2 linked regions of the Danio rerio genome follow. The protein of the gene in region 2 binds, or shares a complex with, the protein of the main gene of each other region. Links are inferred from orthologs where the notes say so. Each region holds a gene or a part of one and is shown on either strand. Other genes may lie near its edges.

What was found.
Region 1: the proteins of camsap1b (region 2) and tubb5 are in contact, whole or in part, in a cryo-EM structure (PDB 6QUS), measured with the Homo sapiens proteins. The link is inferred for Danio rerio from reciprocal best matches to the Homo sapiens genes CAMSAP1 and TUBB. Residues at the interface, in NP_056262.3 of Homo sapiens: Cys1486, Cys1487, Leu1488, Ala1489, Gly1490, Lys1491, Val1492, Asn1493, Ala1519, Gly1520, Cys1521, Gln1522, Arg1562, Lys1563, Gln1564; in NP_821133.1 of Homo sapiens: Arg306, His307, Gly308, Arg309, Asn332, Asn335, Lys336, Ser338, Ser339, Tyr340, Glu343, Gln426.

Annotation. Positions count from the first base shown.
Region 1 is NC_133191.1:10,600,705-10,605,038, reverse strand, and holds the start of tubb5 (tubulin beta-5 chain), read right to left. Parts: upstream 2,938-4,334; 5' UTR 2,876-2,937; coding exon 2,819-2,875; intron 1-2,818. UniProt on the Homo sapiens protein: Tubulin is the major constituent of microtubules, a cylinder consisting of laterally associated linear protofilaments composed of alpha- and beta-tubulin heterodimers.
Region 2 is NC_133180.1:71,534,964-71,538,951, reverse strand, and holds the end of camsap1b (calmodulin-regulated spectrin-associated protein 1-B), read left to right. Parts: intron 1-371; coding exon 372-490; intron 491-1,850; coding exon 1,851-2,147; 3' UTR 2,148-3,470; downstream 3,471-3,988. UniProt on the Homo sapiens protein: Key microtubule-organizing protein that specifically binds the minus-end of non-centrosomal microtubules and regulates their dynamics and organization. Specifically recognizes growing microtubule minus-ends and stabilizes microtubules.

The sequences.
Region 1 (4,334 bases), on a different chromosome or scaffold from region 2:
TGTTTCATTTATATCTGTACTGTAGAAGGGATGGGCAGCAGCTGTTAGAGGCATTAAGTCCATTTGCAGATGCCTCCTCTTCCCCACCCTGACCTCAGATGAGTTCAACAGACACTCGCCATCTCATCATTTAAAAGGCATGTCAAAGTCTTATAACGGATGAGGACGATTTAACCCAATTCTTAATGCCACATAAGTCATGCAACATCTCATGAGCAATCTTTAAAATAGGCGTGTTTTAAAATTGGGTCATGTATGTGAAAAAGTTCTACAGATTCTACAGATTTTAGGCAAATGTATTTAAGGCTGGGCGACTAATCGAAAAAGTAATCGCAATCGACATTCAGAACCTATAATCGATCAAATTTTTTCAGGTCAATTTTATTAATTACTTTCCCTGCCATGTGTGGAGTCACGTGTCCCCATTTTCTCAAGGCTAATTTATACTTACTCTATTATGATTTATACTTTTTATATTATTCTGACATTATACTTCTGCCAAGCGTACGGTCCGGCGCAGCCTTCGCATACCCACACCTCTCAAAAAAAAGCAATTACACGTCACAATGACACACAGCACAAGCTTTGTGATTGGTCAGTTTGGTAGAGGTAACAAGGGTGGGCGGCGCGGACAATTTCAGTTGTTCAGCATTGATGTTCAATAAATAATCATTTAAAGTAGACAGTGTGCGTTTCCTCCAATTATTTTAAAATCAAGCAATGCACCCTTCATTTAAAGATCTCTCACTTGTAATGTGTGAGGATATTTACTGTAAAAAACTAGTGAACTATGAGGGCAAAAACATAAAATAAATACATAAAATAATCATTCATTAATTGTAATCGAGTTAAAATGTTCAATAATAAAGATTTTGATTTTAGGTCAAATCGCTAGCCCTAAATGTATTTCTCTAAAGGTCTTCCTTCATTTTTGACCAAAAATTTAATGCTTTGGTTCATCAGAACAATATTAAATTATTTTAAAAATATGCAATAATAAAAGTCATGGTTAGAAAAGGGGGCGACGCAGTGGTGCAGTAGATAGTGCTGTCACCTCACAGCAAGAACGTCGCTGGTTTGAGTGTTTCTGTGTTGAGTTTGCATGTTCTCCCTGCATCCGGTTTCCCTCACAATCTAAAGACTTGCAGTACAGGTGAATTGGGTAAGCTAAATTGTCAGTAGTGTATGTGTGAGAATGAGTGTGTATGAATGTTTCCCAGAGATGAGTTGCAGCTGGAAGGGTACTTGCTGCGTAAAAACATATGCTGGATAAGTTGGTGGTTCATTGCGCTGTGGCGACCCCAGATTAATAAAGGGACTAACCCGAAAAGAAAATAAATGAATGAATGAATGATTAGAAAAGGTTAAACTGTCACTATTTGTGTTCGTTATCAATTGGGAAACTTTTATTGAGCAGAAACCTTTGGTTCTGCATTCATTTTTAATTTTAATTAAATGTACTTTTTAATAATTTGGAATTTTATTTAAGACAAATACATGTTTTAGGAAATATACATTTCATACCAAATTTTAAATTAGCATTATTCATACATAACAAAAACTTTAAAAGTCTATGATTCTTAGAGTTTATGATTTTATGTTGAATTATTTTTACCTTTAACTTCAGGGATTAAATGATAAAAATTTGTGGTTAAGAGGTCATCAATAAAAATAACTACTGCATTTAATAGCATTTAGCATGGAAAAAAAGTTTATATATATACTATTTATATATAAAATTGAACTATAAGTAAATTTGTTGAAATGTAAAAGCAAACAAGTTGGTCATATCTGAGGCTGATAAAGGAAAGCTAATCCTTTTGTGAGATCAAAGTAAGAAAGAAGCCAATTTTAAAGCAAATTAAGCGATGACTAAAACTAATAATAATAATAATGTTACTAATCAAGAGTTCATAATTTACCACTATTAGCCTACTTCAATGGTTATGTCTTCAATTAAATCCTCATTGTCTTCCTGCACAGCCCCACCCTTTCCAGCATCCTCCACCACTGAATCACAGCAGTCAATATCTGCACATCGATGACACTAACGCTTCACTGACAGGACAGGCAGAGACTAACTGGATAAAATACTTGAAATAAAAGAAAAAGATGCTATAGTAATATTAGTGCCACGTGGCTGCGCTCAGAGTCCTGACAGCTGTTTAAAGGGCTCGCGACACTGATTACAGGTCGCCATGGTAATAATTATAGAGAGCGCTGCTGCTGCTGTGCCCATCAGATCCGCCACACCCGGTGCATTGAAGACAACGAGAGAAAGAAAGAGGACAGACAGACCCCCCTCTTCCTCTCTCAATCTCTACACCCACAACTCTAATTTACACACAAAGACATTAATGCTCGGAGTCTGTGGAATTTGAGCATCGTTTACATGAAAAATGCTATTCAGAGCGACTAAAAGACATAATGGGAATGAATAGGAGTGGGAGCCGCATATTCTTGGGCGTGAATAAAGGGGGCTTCAGATGAGACAAAAAGAGGACAAGACAAAGCAGTGTGAGGAGAAGTAGATTCTTGTACATAGTGAAGGAGTTATGAAAGTGCTCTACATGTTGCTATAGTGTTATACATTATTAATAACGTTTGGTAAAGTGTGCAATGCCAAAAACTGGACACACAATTGCTCTGTATTGCCTAACGGTCATGTTAAATATAAAGTAGACAAAATGTTTCTGTTTTAAATACAATAAAAAACTTCAACTATACAACACACAATCATTGTTGCATTTTAAGATATTTTCAGTAGAAGATGCTAAATATAAATGACTCTGATTTTACTCTGAAAAACTCTTCTTACCTTGGCACCGATTTGGTTTCCGCACTGACCGGCTTGGATGTGAACAATCTCCCTCATTGTTAGAAATTGTGCGAGAAGTTCTCCAATGAATGTAAAAAGTAGCGGTGTGGCTCGGCAATAATTTGAGAAAGCCGGACAAAGGCTTTATATTCCTGGACTGTCTCCAGAACGAGGCTGGAATAGTAATGGGCGGGGCACTAATGGATGTTGAGGAAGCTGATTGGTCAATGCTCGAGGAATGGCGCATGGACCGGAAGTATGCAGGGAGTGCCAACGAGGACTGTCTGTAGAAAAAAAGAAAAAGTATGCTGGTTTTTCTATCCAGTTGGGCTATTAAGATTTTAAAACACTTTTTATACCAGTGACCTAATTATTTTTGTTTTGTTTACATTAGTTTAATCTCAGGACTACAATTTGACCAGATTGAAACTCTTGTGAATATGAAAAAATCCTTTAAATCTAGCCATATTAATTGATATGATGTTGTATAAATTTGTGCTTTTACATATGTACTTTATAATTAACTTTTAACTAAGACTTGGTAAATTCATGAAGTGTATTGTATTATTGTGGGGGCAATTAGTGGAAACTGAGGGAACATACTGAAAAAAAATATTCAGAGATGATTCCTTGGATTTACTCAATGTTTTAGGTTAAGTGGCTGTAAACAACTTGGGCTGGATTTAAACTAACAAATTAGGTTAAATTTTATTAATTTTAATTTGTTTATTTAAATTCAACACAAATAAATTGTTAGCAACAATTCTGCAGACATCATTTTTTTCAGTGCCCCCAAATAAGAACATATTTGTGCAAGGGACCCCCTTACCTTACTAAAATGTCAATTTTAATATTGACTTCAAGCAAATGTGATTTTCTTTGTATTTCATTTCATTTTGCTTTTCGGTGTTTTGACTTTTAGCAATGAAATTAAACCCACACTGATCTAAACTGAACTGAACTTCAACTCTGAAAACTGGACTGACATGATTTCAGTTTACTGTAATCTTCTATGTTGAGCTGTTTTGATGCAATGTAATTTGTAGAAGCGCTAAATAAATTAAATGAAATTGAAATGAATTGAAATAAACATAGGGGCGAAGCAGTGGGTAGTGCTGTCGCCTCACAGAAAGAAGGTCGCTGGTTCGAGCCTCGGCTCAGTTGGCGTTTCTGTGTGGAGTTTGCATGTTCTCCCAGCGTTCGCGTGGGTTTCCTCCGGGTGCTCCGGTTTTCCTTACAGTCCAAAGACATGCGGTACAGGTGAATTTGGAAGGCTAAATTGTCCGTAGTGTATGAGTGTGTGTGTATGTGTGTGTGTGGATGTTTCCCAGAGATGTGTTGCAGTCAGTAAATCTGAGAGTACAGCAAATATTTTTTACAAACCTGTTTGCTGAATTAATAAAAGAAAAACTCATTGATGAAGTTATCAAGGCTTTCAGAAAAAGGAAAAAAAATTGCATGAAACTAAAAAGAGCAGACAGAAGAGAGAATAATGTCAGATTTACTCTCAGCACCA
Region 2 (3,988 bases):
TTCCAGCAAATGTTTTAAGCAGTGGATGCCCTTCCAGCCACAACCTAATACCAACTAATCATAATACATATCCTAGGGATGTTGCATGAATGAATGAACATTAAATCTTATGCCTTTCTGTTCAACATTTTACTGTTTTTGAACTTGAAAGATGCTAAAAATGCACAATTGTCATTATTATTACTATTTTGCTTTTACTTATTTTAAAATCTTTTTTTTTTTGCTTCTATTGTTGTTGTTTTAGACAATTAGGATTTGCACTGAAAGGAAGGGCAAATGCAAATTTTGTTGTATTTTGTACAATGACAAAAATTCTGATTCTTCTCGAGTTTTTTGTTTATTCTTGTAACAATTTTTTTTTGTCGCTGTAGGACCCAAACTTTTCAAGGAACCAAGTGCGAAGTCCAACAAGCCGATAATCCACAACGCCATTTCTCATTGCTGCTTAGCAGGGAAAGTCAACGAACCGCAGAAGAACTCCATTCTTGAGGTGTGTGACTTCACAGATTAATCATGAAAATTTGTTTATACAGACAAGCAATAAAATGACTTTGTGACTGATTTTGTGTCTGTAATTCCCAGAAATTTGCAAACAATTTTGTGATCTTATCTAACATATTAGGTAGCCGACTATGTTAGATGTGCTATCTGACACAATGACAAGGACACAAATCATAAAAATAAAGCTTCTTTATTTTGTTGTTTTGTCAAGACAAGATCTAAAACAGTTCTAAAATGATAGGGATTAAGCCCAAGGAAGGCTGTATTAATTTTATGCACGAATTTACTTTTTCTCTCTCTCAGATTTTGCTCCCCGGAGCATCTGACATAATGTACCTCATTCAGGAAATGCATTAGGGCTTCTTCTAGCACCTAAAAGATAGATTGCAGACCAAAAAACTTGTTGCAGGGAAGCGTTTTGGTTTTCTCTTGTTAATTGCAGGGAAAGAGTTCAACAACATCACTTATCGATTTCAACAACACTATTAACACCAGCCATACATGTAAAAGCACAAATAAGGTCTTTCAATTCGGTCAAGTCCAGCAACCGTTGTCCTTCAACCAATCTCCATTATTGTAAGCTGCTTACTTGTCTGTCTTTTGCATTGCTCTATTTTTGAGATGTTTGCTTGCACTTTTGTTGCAGTCTGAAGCACGTCAAACGCACAAAATGGCCAATTTGCGCCACAGGATGTCTAATCCCATCTTTGCATTGTCTTCATATGTAAATCAGTAGCGCTTCATTCGCGTGTGCTTACTGCACAGGCTGCAAAACACCCAACCACACGCATGTAATGATTGTGAGGGCGCAAGTGGCATGTCATTTTGTCGAGAGACACTCAAATACATCACGTACGCTGCGTATGCAACGTCTATAAGTCATGTAAAACATTTAAGTGCAAACTGAAATTAATATCATTTGATTTTATGGTTTGGAATTAGATGTTTTATGAGATTATAAACATTTTTTGTGATTATTTTGCGTTTAATTAAGAATTTTGCAGGATCGCAAAAAACTGTGTCTTTTTGTTGATTTTTAGTTGGATTTAGCGATCGCGGAATCGTGAAAAACTAGGGCAGGGGTGGCCAACCCTGTTCCTGCAGAGCCCCCTTCCTGCAGATTACAGTTGCAGCCCATATCAAACACACCTGCCTGCTATTATCACCTGGTGTTCAGGTCCTGATTAATTGGTTTAGGTGTGTTTGATATGGGTAGCAACTGAAATCTGCAGGAAGGTGGCTCTCCAGGAACAGGGTTGGCCACCCCTGAACTAGGGGGAGTCTGTTTATAATACTAAATCTTGATGGTGAACACAAAATAAATGAAATGATTGTGTCTTGACCGGCAGGAGCTGGAGAGGTGTGAATCCAACCACTTGATGATTCTCTTCCGGGACAGCGGCTGCCAATTCAGAGCCCTTTACTCATACTTCCCTGACACAGAGGAGATCCACAAGCTCACCGGCACCGGGCCCAAGAGCATCACTAAAAAGATGATCGACAAACTCTATAAGTACAGCTCGGACCGCAAGCAGTTCACTGTAATCCCCGCCAAGACTGTGTCTGTGAGTGTAGATGCGCTGACTATCCATAACCACCTGTGGCAAGCTAAAAGACCCGCAGGGCCAAAAAAGAGCGCGAAGTGAAGTCAGATGACACTATTTTTTTTCCATCGAGGTCAGTAGTCACTTTGAATGGAAGAGGTTCGCTGGACAAACAGGCATGAGTTATCATGCACTTCATTTGAATGTGTTTTGGGTTGAAGTAGTACCCACAATCCTGTGGTGTTTTTACATGAATCACTCTTTTGTTACTTGAAGTATTTATTAGTTTGGCACTGATTAGCTCGTTTAAACGAAGCGCTTCCCCCATGATTGTTTGCCTTTTTTTTTTACTATTATCTACTTAACGTCTTTCAAAACATGTCTGCTGCCTCCGAGGACTGCCGGAACTCGAATTAATGTACAAAACTTAGCTGACTTGCCTCTCAACCAAATTTTTTTTGCCTCCAAAAACATGCTGCTCCTTTGTTGTCGCCGGGATAATCCCGGGTCTGCATACTTTTGGCCTTCATGCGTTGTGGTACTGTCTGTTTATTCAACTCTTTCAAATAAGCGCCTCGGTTTTAACCCCCCCGCTTGATGGTCTTTTTTGATTGGGAATCAAACAGACCTTGATAAGAGTCAGATGCAGTTTACTTATCTTTCTCGGTAGCGGCCTCTTCCACTGGACAGTCTGTACTATGGTGCACTTATGATCATGTTTTAGTGCTTTTATTATCATGCAATGTAACCATGTTGATGTTGGCACTGGAGCTTTTTTTTTTTTTTTTCCCTCATGCAGAAGAGCAGCATGCTCTGTTATGAAGAGTGTCGCTGTAAACGATTTGAATGACAGTATTTAATATATTCACAATCGGTTACTTCCCTTGCAGTCGCTGTCTAATTATTTACCAAGGTTGAAAACATTCCTCAGCGAAACAAGTCAACACTGCCGACGTCCTTTTGCGTGTAGACGCTCGAAAAAACACTCACAGAAGCCTCGTGTCTGGTGTCAAGATCAATTGAGTGTTGCACATGCACTTTATTTTTTTGCTCATGACGGTGTAGAGGTTTAAAGGGCTTAACGAAACTGTTTTTACTCCTAAAGCTTCAGTAGATTTGAAGGTACTCTAGTAGACACTGAGAAATAAACACTATTAACACCGGAAAAGAGCACACTGACAGCCCCTTTCGTCTCTTAAACTACTGTTTCCAAACGATAGGTGTTAGAATTGTCATTTTAAACTGCATTTTTTTGTATATTATGTGTGTTTTTATATATTACCTAAAAGATTGTATTGATGTTGATCACTTTTTTTTTTTCTTTTTAAACACTACTCTTCGTTTTTTTTGGCCATTTTGCTTCCTTTATCTTACCATTATTTATTTTAAGCAAGACTCTGAGAATTAATAAATATTTCAAGTCAATACATTCATTCTCATTATTTTTGTTTATTTCTGATTATTGACATTCTCATCTTTCTTCCACTTTATTTTCTTGCACATTACATTGAGTTTTGTCTGCCCGACTGCATGACTTTAGCTCTGATTTTACAGGTTTTAAGAAATCACAGGAAAATCGGTGCTCTTTCACGTGAGTAACAATCACACCATGTGATCTATCAAAACACGCAATCTGGGAGAATTTCCGATGAGTCGCTGACATCCGCCAGATATTTGGCTTGTTAAATACCTGGAGCTGTCGCCAATTCAAAATCCTACCGTGTGAAATGTGTTCTGATTGAAAATCACATCTGAGATTACTTACAGCCAATGAGAGAGCAGCATTCACTAGGTGGTTTATTTATAAACTAATTTCAAGAGGATCACGTGGTTATGATTGAACACGGCTGGTACCGCATCAGCTCCGTATATTGCACCAATCAGATGAATACTGATGCACTATAAATAGCCAGATTATTCCACTCCAGTCATTTTCGTCTTGA